Drosophila melanogaster: one gene and its partners. The protein of the gene in region 1 purifies or fractionates together with the protein of each later gene. This does not show direct contact. Each region holds a gene or a part of one and is shown on either strand. Other genes may lie near its edges.

Evidence for each region. The genes of interacting proteins can lie anywhere in the genome.
Region 2: the proteins of pav (region 1) and feo purify together in Drosophila melanogaster (affinity purification with western blotting, with the first as the bait; one study listed by BioGRID). This does not show direct contact.
Region 3: the proteins of pav (region 1) and sti purify together in Drosophila melanogaster (affinity purification with western blotting; one study listed by BioGRID). This does not show direct contact.

Annotation. Positions count from the first base shown.
Region 1 is NT_037436.4:4,239,892-4,247,517, forward strand, and holds pav (pavarotti), read left to right. Parts: upstream 1-2,842; 5' UTR 2,843-2,986; coding exon 2,987-2,997; intron 2,998-3,056; coding exon 3,057-3,815; intron 3,816-3,873; coding exon 3,874-4,423; intron 4,424-4,483; coding exon 4,484-4,805; intron 4,806-4,860; coding exon 4,861-5,411; intron 5,412-5,472; coding exon 5,473-5,943; 3' UTR 5,944-6,342; downstream 6,343-7,626. Other genes in the region: Sqor (sulfide quinone oxidoreductase), read left to right, coding at 505-632, 895-1,000, 1,061-1,285, 1,344-1,544, 1,603-1,812, 2,013-2,199, 2,253-2,569; ago (archipelago), read right to left, coding at 7,585-7,626.
Region 2 is NC_004354.4:10,850,930-10,856,377, reverse strand, and holds feo (fascetto), read left to right. Parts: upstream 1-1,508; 5' UTR 1,509-1,773; coding exon 1,774-3,789; 3' UTR 3,790-3,932; downstream 3,933-5,448. Other genes in the region: sofe (sister of feo), read left to right, coding at 1-930; CG2202 (uncharacterized protein), read right to left, coding at 4,606-4,673, 4,737-5,317, 5,405-5,448.
Region 3 is NT_037436.4:12,507,800-12,516,472, forward strand, and holds sti (sticky), read right to left. Parts: upstream 7,017-8,673; 5' UTR 6,869-7,016; coding exon 6,583-6,868; intron 6,327-6,582; coding exon 6,082-6,326; intron 6,026-6,081; coding exon 5,663-6,025; intron 5,604-5,662; coding exon 4,236-5,603; intron 4,005-4,235; coding exon 2,502-4,004; intron 2,426-2,501; coding exon 2,230-2,425; intron 2,174-2,229; coding exon 558-2,173; 3' UTR 199-557; downstream 1-198. Other genes in the region: tral (trailer hitch), read left to right, coding at 7,653-7,773.

The DNA.
Region 1 (7,626 bases):
CCGAAAACTACAGTGCAACCTGTTGCGTTTTCCCCATTTTTATTACCACATAAAAACTGGTTTTCAGCCACGTACACTCTGATTTTTATGGCCGACGGGCGAAATTAAGAAATACCACATTTTTAGAAGCCTGACACTTTTTCCAAATTAGTACGCTTAAAACAATTCTAACAATTTCTAATGTGTTATTTACTTGTGTTCAAAATCAGTTGTTATGTTCGATTTCACTGACAAATTTTCCCACACTCGTTTTGTTTTCCTTGATAGCCGGTCGAAATGTTGGGAAGCACTACACAGTGCCGCCTAAGCATCTTCGGCATTTTTTAAATTTCTAAAGTTTTTTCTAAATTTGAAATAGACCAAACTTTTTGCCAGTGCAGCCGGTTTGATAACCCCCCATTGAAAGCTCTTTTTTGCCAGTCTTCAATCGGTTGTGGGCACTTGCAGTCCGTTTTGTTTTTCTTTAACGCAGATTGAGGGATCGAAGATCATCCAGCTGTTGCGATGAACCGTCGCCTTCCAGGAACCATCAGCCAGTGCCAGAAGCTTCTCCTAGCCACCCACAACCATGCTCCAACGGCCTTCTCCACCAGATTCCTGTCCACATCTCGAGTGAACCGCGAGCGGCAAGAGTAAGTTTGTTTATATAGCTGCGAAAGTTTATGACATTTTCCGCGAAACAAATGGCATGGCAAATCTATATCTATATCTACCAAAACAAATTGAATTAGTATGTTTAGGCTAGTAACTAATTAATGGCGATAACGAAGAGATAACTTGTTGGCCATGGTTAGATGGCACTGATGGTGGGTGTGGTCATGCGACTGTACTAATCTCCCTTGAGGTGTCTGTCATTGTATATTCCAGCAATTAAGTAAATCCTATTTTTTCCAGATGCCAAGTGCTGGTTGTGGGCGGTGGCACCGGTGGGTGTGCCATGGCCGCCAAGTTGTCCTCACGTTTGGGCAGCGACAAGGTGGTCGTCCTGGAACCGGAAGATGTGAGTAAGCCCAAAGGCAGTAAATAATCCATTATGACATAGCGCGATAATTCCCCATAGAAACATTACTACCAACCCATGTTCACCCTAATAGGAGGTGGTATGAAGAGATTGGATCAGAGCCACCGCCAAATGGCCGATGTGCTGCCCACAAAGGCCAAATGGGTGAAGGAGAAGGCGCTGGAGTTCGATCCGGATAATAATACGGTTAGCACTTCTGGTGGCAAGACCATCAAGTACGACTTCCTGATCATCGCCACCGGACTGCAGCTCAATTATGGAAAGGTACGTAGGGTATCAGTACGTTTAATAGTTGCTAATATCCATATCCACATATCCATAGATACCTGGCCTGGTGGAGGCCCTGGAGACCCCCGACAGTAATGTTTGCTCCATCTACTCGCCCAAGTACGTGGATCATGTGTACGAATGTCTGCGCAGGACCAACAAAGGAAATGCTATATTCACGTTTCCCAATTGTCCCATTAAGTGTGCAGGTGCACCGCAGAAAATCGCCTATATATCTGAGCACTACTTTAGGAAGGTGTGCATCATTTAGATAGAATATCTGGCAAACAACTTCAATTTGAAACCCTTTTCAGATGGGTCGTCGCGACAACGTCAATATCATCTACAATACATCGCTTCCCGTGATTTTTGGTGTTAAGCATTACGCAGAGGCCCTGATGAAACTGATCAAGAGGAGAAATATCACGCTTAATGTTCAAAGAAATCTCGTTGAAGTGAGACATAAAGATAATATAGCCGTGTTCGAGGATCTCGCCAAACCAGGAGTTCACTATGAGGAAACGGTAAGTGCTGGTCAATTAATTGGGTATTCTAGATACTATATAGATCTAGATCTAGATCCTAGAACTATATCTTTCTACTTAAAGCGAGAAATATGAAGAGTAGGTTAACTAAGATCAATTTTAAAGTCGTATAGTATTGCAGAAATAGGAGAATTGAAGGCCATGAAATTAAACTTATATAAGTATTATATCTTTCTCAGTACTCCATGCTTCATGTGACTCCGCCGATGAGCACTCCGGATGTGGTGGCCAACTGCAAGAAACTGGTAACCCCCACTGGCTTTGTGGACGTCGACCAGTTGACGCTGCAGCACAACAAGTACAGCAACGTGTTCGCCATCGGCGATTCGGCGTCCAGTCCCAACTCGAAGACGGCCGCGGCGGCAGGTAAATGGGTTGGGAATCCTGATCAGAATATTCAATTGATTTTTCACCTCCAGCCGCCCAATCACCGGTTGTGTTCAAAAACGTAATGGCGGCGATCGAGGGCAAAGCCCCAACGGATATCTACGATGGATACTCGTCCTGCCCCATCGTCACCGGCTACAGCTCCTGCATCCTGGCTGAGTTTGATTACAACCTCACCCCCGTGGAGACCTTTCCATTGGACCAGTCCAAGGAGAGGTACTCCATGTTCTTTATGAAGAAGGAGCTGATGCCGGTGCTCTACTGGAAGCTGATGATGAACGGCTACTGGAACGGACCGGCACTAATGCGGAAAATTTTCTCAGTGCTAAAGTTTAATAAAAAGCAATAGGGACCTCAAATGATCTTTAATTAATTTTAAAAGAATATTTGGCATCATCATAACCATTCCATACCTTAATATCATACTAATTTATAAACATTGTACTTTTAATTTGGTATGTGAGATCATAAATAAAAGTATTAAATTAGTTTAAAATCTAGTATATCTAAATATTTTAACCTATTCAAATGGCACGCACTGTACATAGCCTCGGTTTCAGTATGTATCAAGTATATATTGGAGCAGGGGATGGTATTTGCAGCATTAACCGCTTTCTAAAGTTCGGTCACTCTAAAACCAAGCGTGGCGTCGCTTGGCGCTGTAAATTTGAAGGTAACGAACTAAAAGAGAGATCGATTCCAGCAACAAAACAAGAAGAAACCCAACTCCCGTATATCAAATTAGTTGCAAAAACGAGCTGACAACATGAAGGCAGTGTAAGTGATATGACAGTTCCCGAAAGAACAACTCCATCAATGAGAATACCCATTTGCAGACCCAGGACGCCGATGCGTGTCGTCCCGAAAACTCCGCGGGTGCATCAAACGGTGGAGAAACAGCGACGAGACACCTCCGACAAGGCCAGGGATCCAGTGAATGTGTTCTGTCGAGTGCGGCCACTACAATCCGACGCAGATCTCACCTCCCTAAGGGTCAAGAACTCCACGACGATCGCACTGAATCCGCAGGATCAGCTGCTGCAGCATCACAAGCCACACAACGGCGCCCAGCGCGAGGTTCAGTACATATTCAAGCACGTTTTCCAGCCGGATGCCACGCAGCAGGATGTGTACGCAGCTGTGGCCCAGCCGTTGGTGGAGAACCTACTGAAAGGCCGAAACAGTCTGCTTTTCACCTACGGCGTGACTGGAAGTGGAAAAACGTACACCATGACCGGCAACCTGCGACACCGCGGCATCATGCCGCGCTGCCTGGACGTGCTCTTTCGCACCATTTCAGATTACCAGGCCAAGAAGTTCGTCTTCAAGCCGGACAAGCTTAATGGCTTCGAGATCCTGTCCGAAGAGGATGCGCTTTTGGAGCGCCAACACGAGATGAACCAGCGTTTTGCTGGCTCAGGACGATTTGCCTTCAGGCACAAGGACTCGGATCCGGAAATTGCATCCCAGGCCTCCGTGGAGCCAATTCCGCTGCTGGGTTTGGATGAGGACAACATGTACTCGGTGTTTGTCACCTATATTGAAATTTACAATAACAGCGTCTACGACCTCCTTGAGGACTCGGGTATACAGAAGTAAGTATTTATTAAGCATTACATTTAAAGAAATCTAACTGTATTCTTGACCCGACAGGACTTTGCAGAGCAAAATCATTCGTGAAGATGCCAATCGACACATGTTCGTCCACGGCGTCACAGAGGTGGAGGTCAAGACCGTGGAGGACGCCCTCGAGGTCTTTCAAATGGGCCAGAAGCGCAAACGAATGGGACACACTGTTCTCAATGCAGAATCCAGTAGGAGTCACTCGGTGTTCAATATACGCTTGGTGCAGGCGCCCACTGATAGCCAGGGTGAGAATGTGGTTCAGGACCGGCAAAACATCACAGTGAGTCAACTGTCCCTGGTGGATCTGGCGGGCAGTGAGCGATCCTCAAGGACCAAGAACACCGGTGTGCGACTCCGTGAGGCGGGCAACATCAATAATTCGCTGATGACGCTGCGCACTTGCCTGGAATATCTGCGCGAGAACCAACTCGCGGCTAGCAATGGATTGGCACCCAAGAAGGTCCCCTATCGAGACTCCAAGATCACACACATGTTTAAAAACTACTTCGATGGCGAAGGCCAGGTGTCCATGATTGTGTGCATCAACCCAAGAATTGAGGACTATGATGAGAATATGGTAAACTATTTTTCTGACAACAATGTACTCTGGTCCCTAAAATTTATTTATCCCGTTTAGCAAGTGATGAAGTTCGCCGAGATGACCCAGGAGGTGCAAATTGCTCGGGCGACTCCTATGAAGCAAGATTTGGGTCTGACTCCCGGCCGTCGCAAGGCCAACAAGCTGTTCAAGATTGCCGTTAATAATCTAAACGAGCTGGGCATTCCTGAGGCCAAGGATTTGGAGGTGGACGTGGGTTTGGTGTACAGTTTGGGACCCGATTTTCCCGCCTACGAAATGGACAGTCCCGAGGCACAGATCAAAATCCGCGAGCTAATGCATTATCTGGAGCAGCGCATAGAAAAGCGAAAGAAGCTGCGTGCCAACTTGGACATTAAATGTAAGACGTCACTTTCTTAATCTTAACATTGAAATACTAATTCCACAACTTTCAGGTGACAGCTTCCGGCAGATGCTGATGAACCTTGACCGCGACAATCTTCAGCTGCGCACGGAGCTCGCCTCCTTAAAGGCTGTTTACAAGCAGGAGCGCGATCGCAGTGCGGCACTCGAGAAGAAGGTTCGCATCCACGAGAGCTCCATTGACGTGCTTAACAATACGCTAAGCAAGCAAGAACGGCAGATTGAAGAGCTGACTTTCAAGCTGAACGAGAAGGAGAATATGCTCACCCAAAAGGAGCACGAGAAGGAAAAGCAAAAGAAGAAGTTCAGCTCCAAGCTGGCCGTTGAGTCGGACAAAAATAAGCGAGAGTTTGAACTAAAGCTGCGTGAACAGCGAGTGAAATTGCAGGAACGCATGCGCATCAAGGACGAGAAGTTGCGATTGGTCTCCAACATTCTGCAGTCCGAAGATCTGCCCAGTTTGCCGCGGTCACAGAGCTCGGAAAACATACTTAATGAGAAAGATCGCGGTGCATATACGGCGCGCACGGAGGAGTCCTCGGTGCCAGCTACACGAACAGATATATATGCAACGCCACGTCATGTAAGTGTATGATTAATCCTAGAATATTGCAATATCTATTGATAATTTTATATCCCAACAGGGTGCAGCAGCGGCCAACAATCGGCATAGACGCTCTCGATCCGCAGGCGACAAGTGGCTGGAGCATCGGGCAGCTAATCCCGTTCCGCTTGGCACTATTATGCAGCCGTATCTGAAGAATCGCAAATCCGTAACGAAACTAACCGACTTGAAGGAGTTGACTGCTCACGGAACTACGAAGTACTGTCTCGTCTCGCAGGATGCGGATACGGATGGCGATGTGGAGACGAAGCTGTATAAGGGCAATGTAATTCCCACTTGTGGCGGTGGTGCCCAAGTTGTGTTCAACGATGTGGAGTGCCTCAAGCAGAAGTCACCGGTTCACTCGCCCACGCGAAAGCGACCCAGCAATGGCAACATTTCGGCTCTGGGCGGCGGTGCAGTGCCCAGCACGGTCACCTCAGCCCAGGACGTAGCCTCCCGCTGCAATCTCGGCATTGAGGGACACAGCAGCAAGAAGTCGAAAATCTAAAAATGACTCAGCGTGGAATTCTCAAAGTCAATTACCCATTTAGTTCATAGTTACTTAGTTTCCATAACTTAAATTTAAGTTTATTACTCACCCACTTCGGTTTTTGGAGTTGAATCGCATTGAAGTGATTTGTTTGATTAAAGAAAAGTTAATCTGTATAAATAATCCCGTAAATGAATTCGCAACCCCTCGCAAATGGAAATGTTTCCTGCTCCAAATAGTCGGTACCCGGAGGGTATCTGCCAAGAGCAGTTGTTAGAAACTATCCAAGCATCGTCCAATCATAGAACTACTCTAGTGTTATTATAAAGTATTAAATATTTTATTGTTTTTCGGAGTGAACCCAACTCCAGTCCAGTCACAAAATGAACAAATAAAGTGAATTACGCGCATATACTGAAAGTGATCAATTTGGTTTTTATCAATTTTAGATTTTCTGGCTGCAAAGCTCCCAGAGTTCCGTGAAGCAATAACATGTGGCACATAGATGGTTTTAACTATTTTTATTATTATTCCTGCGTTTATTCAGATTTATGCTTAAACCGATAAATTTTATTGAAATACATACGGTACCATTACACATACATATTTGTAGATTAATTTCAATTACTAATAAATCAGTCTATAATTAAAATATATGTTCGCTTAATGATTTCACGTGTGTGAGTGTTGTTGTGTTGCAGTGTTCATGTTGCAGTTGCTGTTTCGTGGGTGTGAGTTGCTGCTCGATGAGTTCGGCAGATGACTCTTAAACGCTATGTGCGGCAAATGTGGCAGGTTCCTGGCAAATGAGGAATTTCGAATTTGGAATTGGAAGCCAATATCGCTAATGCTACTGCACGACAAATGAATCAAATCAAATGTAAAAGGGAAACAATCAGAACGTGATAATAGAATTTAGGTACATACCCGTTCAAGTACAATTAAACAAAACAAGTTGGACGAGACGAAACAAAACCACAAATGTAAACATAATAGGCGGCAAACTCAACTCAAGTGGTGGGCCAATATTAACATATCCATCTTATCCAAATTTCATTTAAACAAATTACAATTTAATCAATATAAAGCTCTGTTCTCATAAACGCTCTCTCAGGTTCACACGACGCGAAACAATTATTTGCATCTGCAGTTGTAAATCTGCGCTTTATAATACGTAATCATAATCATAATATTATCATTAAGGTAATCGATTCTTGCCATATACACAATAGCAATAAAAACTAAGAAGCGAAATTATTCTACGGTGGAAAACGAATTTTGGCTATGAAGCAACGTAATTTAAAAGGGTATTATTAACAATATACACTCACAGCCACAGCCACACCCCGACCACCCGACTACCCTACTCTTCTTTCCCTTAATTGTTTAATGTTTTTTGTGTGTGTGTTACGGTGTGTGTGGTGTTAATGGTGTGTGTGGTGTATGTGAGCAGTTGCGTTTTGTTGGCAAGGCATTCAACATTACGTTGCGGACCCTCACATCCGCGGCATCTGTCTGTGTGTGCTTTTCTGTGTTTGGATGAGTTTGCAATGAAATCTCGCTTGAAGCTGTATACTAGCTGCCCCGTCCCTGACCGTTCACCGCCTGAATCCAAGCGAGACGGCGGCGTAGGCTCCACCGGAAGTGCCCCACCGTCTCCTATGAGCACTTCACACATGCACCCTCAACATCAAAGTCGAG
Region 2 (5,448 bases), on another chromosome or scaffold:
ATCAACGAGTGGTGGGATCTTTCACTGAAAAGCACCGAGGAGCGCAGGCGCTTCACCACCTACTACTGTGATACGCAGACCGAAGATGTTCTCGAGCAGTTCGAGAAGGAGCTGGACAACCTTAAGGAGTTCTACAACAGCAACAGGAAGATATTTGAGCTATACGCGAATCGAGGCGAGCTATGGACGCGCATGGAGGCCCTGGAGGCCAAGGCCAACGATCCAAATCGGTTCAACAATCGCGGTGGACAGCTGCTCAAGGAGGAGAAGGAGCGCAAGACTATCATGTCCCGTCTGCCCAAGATCGATCAACAAATCACCGAACTGGTGCAGGTCTACATGAGTGAAACGCACACGCCGTTCCTGGTGCACGGCGTGGATATACTGGAGCGCATGTCGGCGGACTGGGAGCGGCATCGACAGTCCAAAAAGCAGCCCTCCGCCCAGAAGAAGGATGGCAGCAATACGAGCGGCCAAATGAAGCCGCCAATGGTGCCTCTTACGCCCAATACGCAGAAGAGCAACCGGGGCATCCATGGATCCACATCCTCGTTGAAGAAGACGCCGACCAAGGCAAATGCCAGCACCACGGCAATGAGCACAGGGAATCTGCACAAGAGACGGCATCCACAGCATCACAACACCAATAGTCCACAGCCGGCAGCAGCGGCCAAGCGAAATCTAATCGCATCGCTGGAGTGCAACAATGCAAGTCGCAAGGTCTGTGTGAATGGGCAGAAGCTGCTCAAGTCGCCGCAGAGGAAGGTGCGCGTGCTGGAATACTCGGTGCGTCGGGGCAAGGGATCCGGCAGGCCGAGCACAGGGAGCAGGAATCCCCAGAAAATTCGTCCCATACCAAAAATCCATGTGCGTCCGCCGTCCGGCGAGGAGAACGAGAGTCCCGACGAGGAGGCGGTCGTGGCCATATAATGGAGCTAGACTCTAATCACATCCAATGGCAATCATTTCGGCAACTGATCTGTGTTCTATATCTATTACCTGTACTGAAGTATTTGGCTCGCAATTGCAGACTCATCGTATTTATATGTATACACATATGTATAGTGTTAGGGCTTTTCCTAGCGCAAAGACTATCTAAATTTACAACTTTAAAATTCTTTTAACTATTTTGCACTACCTGTGACGGCAAGAAGTAAATGAACAATTGTCCACATTTTAAATTTTTAGTCAGATAAAAACGCTTGTTTACATTATAAATTACTTGATTTCAATTTTACCAAAATATACATGTGTGGGAAGGGTTTTCTAAAGTCTGTGGGATGTTTACTAAGCGCATATAAGAGAATATAATACGTTTTTAAGGAGCAAAATAATTAAAATAGATATTTTAATTTGCTAATAAACCAAATAACGAATTTTAAATATTCAAAAAAGTGGCGTATGCTCCAGCCCTGGTTTTACCAGAAGTTACCGCCGCGTGGCAATGCTGTCCCACAACGCGGTGGCAACACTCTTGGCCGCCATTTCAATTTGAATTTACCGAAATTTCTGTCTAGCGTCATCGATTCATTCAGTTCGAAATTTCGTGCAGTGATGCACTCTAAATAAACCACTAAATAAATCCGCACATTCCCGAGCAATCCTGCCCAGCGTTGTGGGTCTGCGACACAACTGTCAAGTTAACTCAGATATGCTGGTTAAATAGTCCCCAAGTGAACACAACGAAAAAACAAAGCCAGTGAGCATTTACGCAAGAAAAGAAATTTTGAACAAAAAAAAAAAAACACAAATTTCACAACGAAAACGGAGAAAATGAACTCGCCGAGCGCCATTGCGGTGAAGGCCCAGATCCTGGAGATGACGGGCGAGCACGTGGATCAGTTGCACGCGATGTGGTCGCAGTTGTTCGAGGTCAAGACCTGCGGTGAGTTCCTCCTCCGGTTGAAGGACCATGCGAACAGCTTCTTCACGGATTTGCTCAATGAGTCGCGCGAAAAGCAGCAGGCGATCCTCAACGATATAGCCGCCTTGCGGGCAGAGGCCACCGACTTGACGCGCCTACTCCACGAGCCGCTGGACATTGGCGAGCGGCCGGAGTCCATGCCGCTGGTCGTCTGGGAGCTGAAGCTGGACAAAAGCATCGAGCACTTACGCGATCAGCTGGCCAGGCGGCGAGCGGAGATCTGTGAGCTTCTGCTGCAGCAGGAGCAGCTGTGCGAGGAACTGGGAGAGCTGCCTCTGCCACTGTTGGCGGATCCACTGCCGCTGCCCGAGGAGATGGACGCCTTTCGGAATCGCCTGGGCCAGCTACGCGATCAGCGAGTGCTGCGCCTCAAAGAGATGGACCAGCTGCGCCAGGCCATTAAGCACGACATGAAGCTGCTTGAGTGCCTGCCCCAGACGGACACCGAGGAGCGTCTGCTCAACCAGGTGGATCACTGCCTAACGCCGGAGACCTTCGAGCTCCTGCGCAACATGCAAAAGAACTTCGCCGACCAGGTGAAGGAGCTGAGGGAGCGCATCGACGATATGCGCGAAAAGATCCATGTGCTGTGGGACAGACTCCAGGAGACAGACGAGTATGCCATGCGTCGCGTGCGCGAGGCTACGACCTACACTCAACGCACCTACGATGTCCTGCGGGAGGAACTGCAGCGCTGCCAGGCCCTGCGACGCCAGAATCTGAAAACCTTCATCGAGCAGCTACGCATCGAGATCAAGGAGATGTGGGATCTCACACTTAAGAGCCAGCAGGAGCGCAAGCGCTTCTCGAACTACTACAACGACTGGTACAACGAAGATCTGCTGGAGCTCCACGAACTTGAGCTGGACGACCTCAAGACCTTCTACAACAAGAACAAGGAGATCTTCGATCTGTACGAAAGCCGTGCCGAACTCTGGTCGCGCATGGAGGCGCTGGAGGCCAAGGCGAGCGAGCCGAATCGCTTCAACAATCGTGGCGGCCAGTTGCTCAAGGAGGAGAAGGAGCGCAAGGCCATCACCTCCAAGCTGCCCAAGATTGAGCAGCAGATCACGGAACTGGTGCAGGCATACGAGGCGCAGGAGAACACACCCTTTCTGGTGCACGGCGAGAACATCCTGGAGCGGATGGCCGCCGATTGGGAGCGTCATCGCCAGGCCAAACAGCAGAGCTCGGCGCGCAAGAAGGCACCGCCATCGGCCAGCAAGATAATGCCACCGCCGGCAACGGGCTCGACAGCTCCACGCACGCCGCGCACGCTGCGCAACATGTCGACCCTTTCCAGCTCCACCATGTCGCTGCGCAAGACGCCGTCGCAGCAGCACCTCCGTCCACTAAACATCACCAAGAGTACGGGCAATCTGCACAAGCGCCTGAATCCGTCCGGCCTGCAGACGGGCCCCAAAACGCCCAACGCCAAGCGCAGCCTTATGAACACACTCAACTCGATGAAGGCGTCGCCAGCCAAGCACCTGCTCGCGCCCAGCCAGCAGCATAACCAGCTGAAGAGCACCAAGTCGCCGCTGAAACGTGTTCGCGTACTGGACAACACACTGCGACGCAGCGGCGGTATGGGCAGGCGCAGCATTGGAACGCGTTCCAGCAAGAAGGCGCGCACCAAGTCCAACGATCAGAACGCCCCACCCGACAGCAGTGACTACACAACGGACGAGAATCCCGAGCAGGGTGTCAGCTATGACGAATTTCAGCCGACCAGTCGCTCCTCGATGCTGCCGCGCCAGCGTCATCAATTGGCCGTGCCGCGAACTCGTCGTGCGGAAATGAATGCCAATCTGCCGGTGCCGCGGGAAAGCCTGATGATCGTGCAGCCGCGCAGACAGTTCTAGTTCCACTGGAGATTGACTAGCTTAACGCGTACCTACTACACTATTTCATAACAGTTGGAGTTTCTTGATGTATTTTAATTTTTTATTTTCTGTTTTACGTTTTCAGAATAAAATTTATGTGAGTTTTTTCGCTTGACCACAAGACTCGAGTGTATTTCACATTTCTTTCAGCATAATTCGTGTGTAAATTTCAGGAATTGGTTGTACATTTGTTAATAATTTTTTGCTAGTTTTCCACCAAAAAGAAATAGCTGTACATTTCGATGTTTTACTATGCTTTCACGATTTATTTGATCATCAACTAAATTTGTTAATTGTTAGAGGGATGGGGAGCTATTTGCACTTTAATTTTAATATACTAATATACAACTAAATTTGTCAATTGTTAGAGGGAGGGGGTGCTATTTGGACTTCAATTTTAATATACTAATATACAATTCAATTTGTCAATTGTTTGAGGGAGGGGGAGCTATGTGCAATTTAATTTTAATATACTAATATACAATCGCACTGATGCAAGCTTTATAAAAAGATTCCAACCGCCTACACTGTAGTAGAGCAGTTCTTATTTGACTATTAAATACATATTAACACATTAAAATGGGCGGCACGTGTGGTGCCTGCGCCAGTGATGAACCCTTCAATTGGCCAGAGCCCGGTGCGGTGCAACAGCTCCTCCCAATTCGGATACCGTTTATGTACAGAGGAAAGCTTAAGTCTACACTGGAATAGTTTGATGTTCGGGATGAGTTGGAGCCGTGTGAAGCCCAGGAGGAGCAGGAGCAGTAGCAGAATCACGCACTTCAGCATCGATAGCTATTTGCCCGCATCGCTTCCGCTCTGGCTGTGCTGGCTGCTTCCTCCTTGGTTGTACATGAGATGCGCTGTAGCGAAAACGACAGAGATGGAGTATGGTTATGACAAGGATGATGCTATTCCCTACATACCCATAACGGCCGGCGGAAAGTTAAAGGCGCCAAACGGAGCAGGCGTATTCACTGCCGTGGGTGTAAAGTTGGCTCCATCGAAGGTATTAGCTGGAGCTGCAGCTGTCGCATTGTATGTACCCGGCGAGTGAATGACGGTGGTCGACGATGTGCTCTCAGCACCGCCAGCTGCAGTCGCCGCAGCCGTCGCCGCCAGCTGGGGATCGAGTTCATTTGGATACCGTGCCGGCGGCATAACGACGGTGGTCAAATGCGACTGACCGCCATCGTCTAGCAGACCCGTGCGCTGCAGTCGTCCCGTCTTCGTCTCGATGTGCTTGTTGTGGGCGCTCATGCAGTGATTGCGCATATTATACAACTGCAGGAAGTAGGCATCGCAGTGCGGACACTTGTACCGCTCGCCCGTATGCCGCCGGATGTGCGCCTTCAGGTCGTTGCTTTGCGTGAAGCTCTTGGGACACTGGTCGCACTTGTACGGCCGCTCGCCGGTGTGCGTGCGCATGTGGATCGTTAGATTGTACGCGCGGTGGAAGCTCTTGCCGCAAGTATTGCACAGATTAGGTTTGGTGCCCGTGTGGTAACTGCAAGTCCAGGCAAAAATCGTTTAGGAAACAAAAAAAGAAAAAACAGCGGATAGCAACAGTGGGGATAGTGGATTCATCACTTACCGCTCATGGACCTTGAGATCGGTGGCACGGGGAAAGGCTTTGAC
Region 3 (8,673 bases), 8.3 Mb from region 1:
GCGTCCAGCGGCCAAGCCAACGATGGCAGTAATGCCAGCGGAGAGCACGATTCCATTTCCGGGGCTTTCGAATTGCGGGACATTGAAAGCTGCTGCCGAAAAGCTGCGTGGGATCAGCCCCAAAAGCTTGGCGTCGACTCCATGCCCCCAACTATTCTATTCGAAAAGCTATCCTGCATAGTAAAATTGATTTAAAATATTATGCGACTTCTTTAATTAATTAAAAAATATTTCCTTTAATATGCTTCGATATTTTAGTGATCAAAATAAATATATTAATTTAATATGAATTACCTTTTTTATCAAAATCTCAAGTTTTATTTGTGTATACAGCACAAAGTATTTAAAGAGTAAATTAAGTAATTTTTAAAAGATTCTGCCATGTGATTTTAGGCAATCGTTACACATGAAAAAGATTGTGAAAAAACATATGTTCTGACAAGTTAAAATAATAATAATCCAAATGTATAGCATATCCTAACCCTAGATATAACTACAACTACTCAGTTTGTAGTATTTTGCTTTGTCCATTCGTTTAGTTAATATATATCCTTCATCTATATGCTATTTCCGGTGACAGTCGAGCCCAAAGTCACAGAAGTGGCCACTGAAGACAGCGTTTCCATGGAGATATTGAACTTCTGCTTGAATGCCTGCATCGTGTCCAGATGGTAGATCTTCTGTGTTCCATTGCAGGGCCTCTGATCGATGGCCACGGCATAGAGATTGACATCTCCGCTGTTGGCCAGCAGCGTGGACATGTAGTGGGGCAAGTAGACGCGCTGCAGTTCCGGGGATTCCGAATTCTCCGATGCGTTATCCCCGCTGGCCATTTCCTTGCTGAACGACCGATGCAAACGGACTATCTGCACGCTTTGATAGTGCGATATGAATAGGAATGGATCGCGGTAAACAAATCCAGTGGGTGCATAGACCCAGTTCAAATCGTACGGCCTGGATCTGCAGCCAAACTCGTCCACAAAGACGCCATATTCGGCAAAGCAGAGCAGATACTCTTGTCGTGAGATGCGCACCGCAGTTAGGGGCTGGCACTTGGCAGTGCTCTCCATTGACTTATCGGACAGATCCACAAACTCCTCAGCCGCATAGTTGTCCAAATCGATCTCGTAGAACTTATCCGAGCTAACAATGGCCGAGTGACGCGTAAAGAATATGGATGTGACCGGCGTGGCCGTGTCCAAGGCTCGAACTGGCTTAAACATGTGCAGCTTAAGGTCGTACTTCAAGATGACAATCCTAGTGGACGTGGCCGCAATAGCCACCGAATCCAATGCGTTCTCCGCCTCATCGGAGATCAGCACTAGTTTCCATTTCTCCGATGGCGTGCGATTGGCAAATGGCAGCTCAATGGCCGACGTTTCCAGCACAGGCTTGTGACACGAACTGGAGCTCTGACAGCGTGACTCCAGCTGGCGGTAGTCACATTGATATAGCTTCTCGCCAACTGTGCCCACCATTATAGCCTTAGCCAGGCGCTTGCAAATGGACATGCAGCTCACCGATTCGAGACCAGAAATGTGCACCAATCGCTGCGAGTCCAAGTGATACGCATACAGTCCCGTGTTACAGCCCAATAGGAGTATTTGCTGCTCGGCCACTTCAAAGGCGCAGTTCACTTCGATCTCCTTCCGTGCCTGATCTTCTGCACCATCCGAACTGTAGACCAGCGATCCAATGTACTCGCCACCGCTGGTTGTACCACCCGCAACATCTACGCTATCCAAAGTCAAGCTGGAGACAGATTGAATACTGCTAAGATCATCGGCTGACGGTGCAGTCGGCTTGGTGGATCCGCAATGGCTCTGAACATTGGAGCGACACTTGCGATGCGTAACATCTTTGCACTCCTTGCATTTCCAGAACGGCGAACCGGCAACGACGGCCTTTTCGCAAACTACACAGTTGACGGCATCCACCTTGGACTCCTGCAGGGCCAGTTCGAAACGGTGATGAGCCTGGTTCTCAATGGTTACTTTAGTCGGTTTCTCCGCCGTCGTCTTCAGCTCCACCTGGCTGGTGGTGCGCTTCAGGGGCTGCTGCTGCTTCTGTGGAGAACGTGGCAAGGCAGCAATGCTTACGGGTCTCTGTTTGGGTGCATCGGAGTCGCCATTAACAGCTGCAGATTTGCGTGGAGAGCGCAAGGTTGCAGTTCCTAAAGGAAATATACAATTAGATACAAACATCAAGCGAAATCTAAAGAAATCCCACCATTCAACTGAGCCAACTGCTCCTTCAGCAAGCTGTTCATCTTTTGTTCTCGCTTCAGTTCCTCCTTTAGAGCGCGATACAGAATGGAAGATTCCACGTCATTGGGTGACACGTTCTCCTTGTTTGTGTGGCTAGAACCGAAAAGTTTGTCCGCCAATGTCTTTTTCTTCTTGGCGGATAGGTCCTCAACTTTGAGCTAAAATATAAATACAAAAATGTTTTTAATCTCATTAACTATTCTCTTAAAAAGAATATATATAAACTAGCTATACCTGAAGGTAGTCAATCAGCTTTTTGTGCTGCGCAAGTGTGGCATTCGATTTAATGTCCCGCTGCACGTAGAACTGCTCCTTCTCGGCCAAAGTGTCCTGAAGGGAATCGATCTCTGCGTGCAAGTTGGCTTGCGCAGACTCCAAGCCCCTTATCTCCGCCTGAAGATTGCCAACCTCCTCCTTCTTGTGGAACAGCTCGCTGAGAATTCTAGCATTTTCCTCCTTCAAACTAACCATTTCGCGATTCGAATCCGCAGTTTGGGCTTCGTAATTGGCATTTTGCCCATCCAAAAGTTCAGCTCTCTCTTGGGTGGCAAACAGTGCGTTAGTCTGCTCCACCAACTGATCCTGCTGCGCCACCAGCTTCTTCTGCTGCTCCTTGAGATTGAGACGAAGTTCATCGATTTCCGATGCCAACACTTGAGCACGCTGCTCCGCCAGACGCTTTTCCGATTCCACCGTAGTTAGTTGCTTTCGTAGATCAGTTAATTGATCGTTGCGCTCTCTGAGTTTCTCATGAAGGGTATCAAGTTGAGATTTCTGGGATTTATTTCGTTCCTGCTCCGATTTTAGCATGGTCTCCACCTCAGTTAGCTGGCTGTCGGTAATGCTACAAGCGTACTTCAACCTCTGGAAGTTATCGGTGAGTTGTTTCAGCTCCTTCTGTAAGACCAAACAAGAGTCATTCGCTTTCCTGCTCTTTTCTCGCTCCTCCTGCAGTTCTCGAATGGTATTCTTCTGTTCCAAAGTTACACCATCAAATCGCGATTGGATTTGCCTGAGTTTCTGGCGCAATTCCGTCTCCTGTTGTTCTAATCTGTGCACATTGGCCAAGTGCTCGATTATCTCCGACTTGCACTTCATGCGCTCCTGCTCGGCCTTTTCCCATTGGCGGTGCTCCTTGAGGACATCCCTTTTGGCGGCCGCCAGTTCCTGCTTCAGCTCCTCGATGCGAGACTCCCGCTGGCGAGTTTCCTCCTGTGACGTCTTGAGCATTCTCTGCGCTTCATCGCTTGCGTTCTGCACCTTTTTAATCCGATCCTCTGTGAGTTCCATGCGACGCGCCAGTAACTTCTTCTCGGACAAAGCTTCCTCGAGCTGTTTCTCCACCTTCCAGAGCGATAGATTCGCTGTACGCGCTGCCTGACGTTCCACAATCATCTGCTCTCGCACTGCTGCCAATTTATCCTCCAGCTTCTCGTTTTGCCGCTCGAGCATATCACCAACGGTTTCACCTTCTTGCTTACGCGATGAGTGCGATTTCGTGGGTGAAAGACTCTGCTCGTTGAAGCGCTCCAGCATTTGCTCCAGTTTGGTAACCAGCGTCTGCAGTTGATCGGCGCGTCCCTTCTGATGGTTTTCACTCTCTTTGGCGGCTAACAAGTCGGCGCGAAGTTGATCCTCAATGGCATTCAGTTCGGTCAAAGATCCAGGCGCAGTTTCGTAGGGGGAAACCTGGGTGGCTAGTGAGGATTCAGCCAGCTGACAGCGACATTCGGCAAGCTAGTTTAAATTAATTCATAAAGTATATTTACAAATTACATATCTTTAGGTTTCTATATTCATCGATTCAATCGAAAGCTATATGCTTCATTAAAAATCATTAAGACTTTAAGTTTGACACAAAATAAAAACACAAACATTCACAGCCTGCTAAGATTTCTTTTTATATAATTTTTTTTTACTCAATATTGCAGTGATTGAATTAACCAATGCAGATGAATAACCACCTACCTGCAATTCCCTCTCAAGTCGATGACATTCGGCTCTAACTTCTTGAGTTTCATTTTCCTTCAGCTGCAGCTTCGTCTCCAGTTTGACCTTTTCCGCATGAAGCTCATTATTGGAGGCGATCTCCTCGTTCAGACGCCGCAGAATTTCTTCGATATTCCGCTCGGTAGCGTTCTTCGCTTCTTGGGTGGACTTGCTGGAGGATATGGACTCGTCCAGCTCGGTGCGTATTTCCTTTATCTCCATTGTCATGCGGCGGTTTGTATCCTGCGAGTCGCGAACCTTTTTCCGGAGATCTGTTAGCTTTTGCTCATACAATTCGGCCATTTGGCGCCTCTGCTCCTCATGGTTTGTCTCGGACTTGAGATTCTGCTCCTTGATCTGCTGCAGCATATCCTTGTAGTTTTGCAACTTCATGGACAAATGCTTGCACTCTTCGAACTTGGCATTGAACTCCAACTCACGGGCATCTAACTTTTGCAGCGTGGATGCCAGCTCTTGCTTTTTGTCCGCCAATTGTTTCTCATATCGTTGCTCCGAAGCGATCTTGGCTTCTTCGTACTTTTGTCGATTAAGGCGAAGGAGATCGGTGATAGTGGCTTCCTTCTTGGACCACATTTCCTCGTCTATTTTGGCCGAACTTTGGAGTGTCTTAATTTGCGTCTTGCAAGTGGTAAGCTCCATTGTTTTCTCCTTGATAATCTGTTGCAGCTTCTTAATTTCCATTTTAGCATCGGCTACCACCTGAGATTTGTTATCGGTCTTCCTCAGCGATTGCTGAGCCCGCAGAAGATCTTGTTTCAGCATGGAAATCTCGTTCTCTCTAGTCTTCAGTTTCTGCAGCAGTTCCTTTAGCTTCTCCTGAAGCTTTTCATCGGTGGTAGCGGAAATTGCCGACTTTTCCATGTGCACAAAACTGTACCCAATGAATGGCAGATCCTTGCCACTGAAATCATTCGATTTCATGTTAGTCGTAAGGGACTTTTTAGCAACTCCCTGTTCTCTGCGAGTCTTATGACGAATTCCGTCCTCGAAATTGGAGGTATCATCGTCAGACCTAACAGTTGGTATAATCGGTGGAACCTGCGAGCGAATGGAACCCCACGGAATTTCGCTAAAGAAGGGGTGATTCTTAATGCGCTCATAGGACAATCGCTTCGAAGGATTTGTGACCAGTGACTCAATAAGATTTCTATAGTTAACAGACACCTTCAAGTCGGCGGGAAAGCTGATGAGCTCTTTAAGGTGACTCTCCTCGCAATGGGAGAGAATCTTGGAGTATGTCTCGTGTACATTGTCCTCGTGAAAAGGTGTTGTCTCGCATATTAACTCATATCCTATAATGCCCATGGACCAATAATCGCAGCTGACCTACAAAATGAGTTCTTGTTTTAGCTATGAACTTTCCAAACCAAACTCTGCGATCGTACAATTCTACTCACATCGTGCATCGACTTGGACAGCTTGTAGGTGGATATGGTTTGCAGCAGCTCTGGAGCTATGTAATCCGGTGTTCCCACCGGCGACAAACTCAGCACATGGCCATCGCGATCCAAGGCAGCGGCATTACCGAAATCAGCCAGTTTAATATGGCCAAAACGATCAATCAGTATATTTTCAGGCTTTATATCCCGATGCACATAGCCCATCTCGTGCAATGTGTGCAGGGCCACTGTGAGCTCGGCCAGATAGAAACGAGCCAAGTCCTCATCGAAAGGGCCGTGGCGTGACATCAAGCTGAGAAGGTCTCCGCCGGGCATGTACTCCATGACCAGGTACAGATTGTCGTTATCCTAAGTGATAAGTTAATTCAAGTACTGAAATATGCGAAAATGTGGAAATAACAAACCTGAAAGGCATACTGCAGATTGATTAGCCATTCAGAGTTGCGAATGGACATGATATCGCGCTCCTCCTTGACTTGTGACGTCGTCACCACCGACTTTTTGATCTTCTTCATGGCGTATATGTCGTTGGTTTGCCGCTCCACCACCAGGTGAACGTTGCCAAAGTATCCTTGGCCAATAAGCGTCTTGATGAGGAAGTCATCTGCGTTGACCCTGAGTTTGCGGGTCTCCTCTATGATGGGACGAACTGGAGTAGGAAATTAGATAGTAATATAATGGGTAACTAGGCATGAGCTCTATTTTCAAGGAGGGAAACCGGAACATACAGGTAAATCTATAAGAGATTCTACTCCCAATAATTTTGTGGGCTTTAATAATGGAATATGATTAGCAAAAGTAGATTCTCTGACCCGAGGAAGTAAAAATGTGGCTTCTGAGTTCCATTTCTATAGAATGGTAGATACTCCATCCGAAAACCCTGCTGACCAATGCAGTTGACTCACATTTGTTGACAAACTCGGCGATGTTGCGATCGCGCTTCTTCAGCGTATCCTTGTCGCACTCGTTGTACAGCAGACAGAAGGCGTCCAGGAGTCCCTCGCGGCAGATGGCCTCGGCCACGGCGGCGCTAGTGGTGCTCACGGGTACAATGCTTCTCCTGGTGGAGGCGGGAATACCTGATCCGGAGGCGCTTCCAGCGGGCTTCGCACAGACGCCAGCTCCTTTGCCCAGAATCAGGTTGTTCAGACGCGCGGTGCGCACGCTAATCGGCTCCATCTTGGGTGGCATGATGGACTCACTTTTATTTGCAATTTTCTCACATAAATAATACAATTAGAAATCCGTAAAATGCCAGAGCATTTTTCTGCCGTTTCGCTTTGAAAAAAATGCGCCGAGGGAAGCCGAAGAGCCAGGGATGCGTGCTCACTTTCCAGAGTTGTATTTAGGGTTGCAAGTAGGGCTGCCCTGTGAAAGAGGATAAAATTTGAATTTTAATGCAAACAGAGAACGGATAAATAATGAAATAGTCTTATTTACTTTTGGCAACCTTTTGAAGCGTCCCCTTTTATATTTTGCACAGTTTTGCACATAAACAGTTATTATTATTATTTCGCTGCCGCCGCCGCTGCTATACAACCGCGCTTTCCAACACCGTCGAGGCTCTCGCTCGTATGCATCGTTCATTTTCGACGGGTAGGTTTTCGCAGACGGACGGAGCAAAGATTTGTGCATCGAAAATTGCAATTTTCACATTTGGAGCCGTGTGTGCAGCATCACAGACATTGGAAAAGCGCTTGTCGCACTTGTGCAAAAACACAGCTTGATAAAGCAAACGCGGCTAGAAGGCGATTGGCCGCAAATTCGCCCTGGAACTGGAACGCAATTGCGTGTGAAAAAAAGACGGAAAAAAAGTAAAAGAGCAGAGACTGAAACCGTCGAGAAATCGTTGTCGTCGCGCTCGCTATAATTGTTTGCTTTTGACAGAGAAATTCGTGTGCCTGTTGGCAGAAACATTTAATAATAGTTTGTATTTTCGGCGTGAGTGCGCAGTGAAGCATCGAAGTAGTTCAAGATGAGCGGGGGATTACCGGAGTTGGGCTCCAAAATCAGCCTCATTTCCAAGGCGGACATTCGATACGAGGGCCGCCTGTACACGGTGGATCCGCAGGAGTGCACCATTGCGCTCTCGAGTGGTAAGTATTTAATACGAAAATCGCCCACGTCGCCCATATATGTACATATACGGGATATACATATGTGGGTGCCGTAATCTGCGCCAAAAAAAAAGAAAAAAAAAATCGTGTAAAAAAACGGTTCATCGCAAAAGAAAATGGATTCTGTCCATTTCTCTTGTGTTGGTGGCTCTACTCTTTCTTTCCTTTTGGTTCGTTTCTTTTTGTTAGTTTTTACAGTAATTTCATACTCGTGGAGACGGTGAGTGCAATTGCCGCCACCGCTCTCTCCATTACCCATTTCGACAGCCGTCTCTCGCTCTCCCACTTATGCTTTTTGTTTGTCATGTTGGCTTTGGCCTGTTTTTGTCTTTGGTTGTTGTTGTACAGTGTTGCTTTTGCAATTTACTTGGCACACATACACCCGCGCACAAAGTAACGAGCACCAGCAAGGCCCCAATGCAATTTGTTTATTTGCAAATACAATTTCGATTTGGCGCCAGATAACGGGATCCAAGGGCTCCCGTTACGGATGTCAGTGCCCTGGAAGTCGAAAAGGAGGAACGGAGAGCGGAGAAATACCGGCAAAACATGCGTTCCCCAGTTGAGGTTAAATTGGAAGCGCGGCCTAACCTTAATGGGTTTACAAGTTTGCCGCAATCCAAGTAATTCGTCTTTTGAACAATTGCATTATATAATGCGGTGCATTCATTTTAAAACAATTGGAATATAAACTTGAAAGATGTGGGCTCGGAAAGTTCCACTTATTAGATGGAGCACTTTTAAAAACCGACTTAGAATACCGGTTAAGCAAAAAAGGTAGCTTATTTGCAATGGAAAAATTTAAAAATTTAAAAGTTTAGTTTTGTGAAAGATCTTTCTTAAAGCAATGGAATAAAAATGGCGGCTGGGATAAGAAAA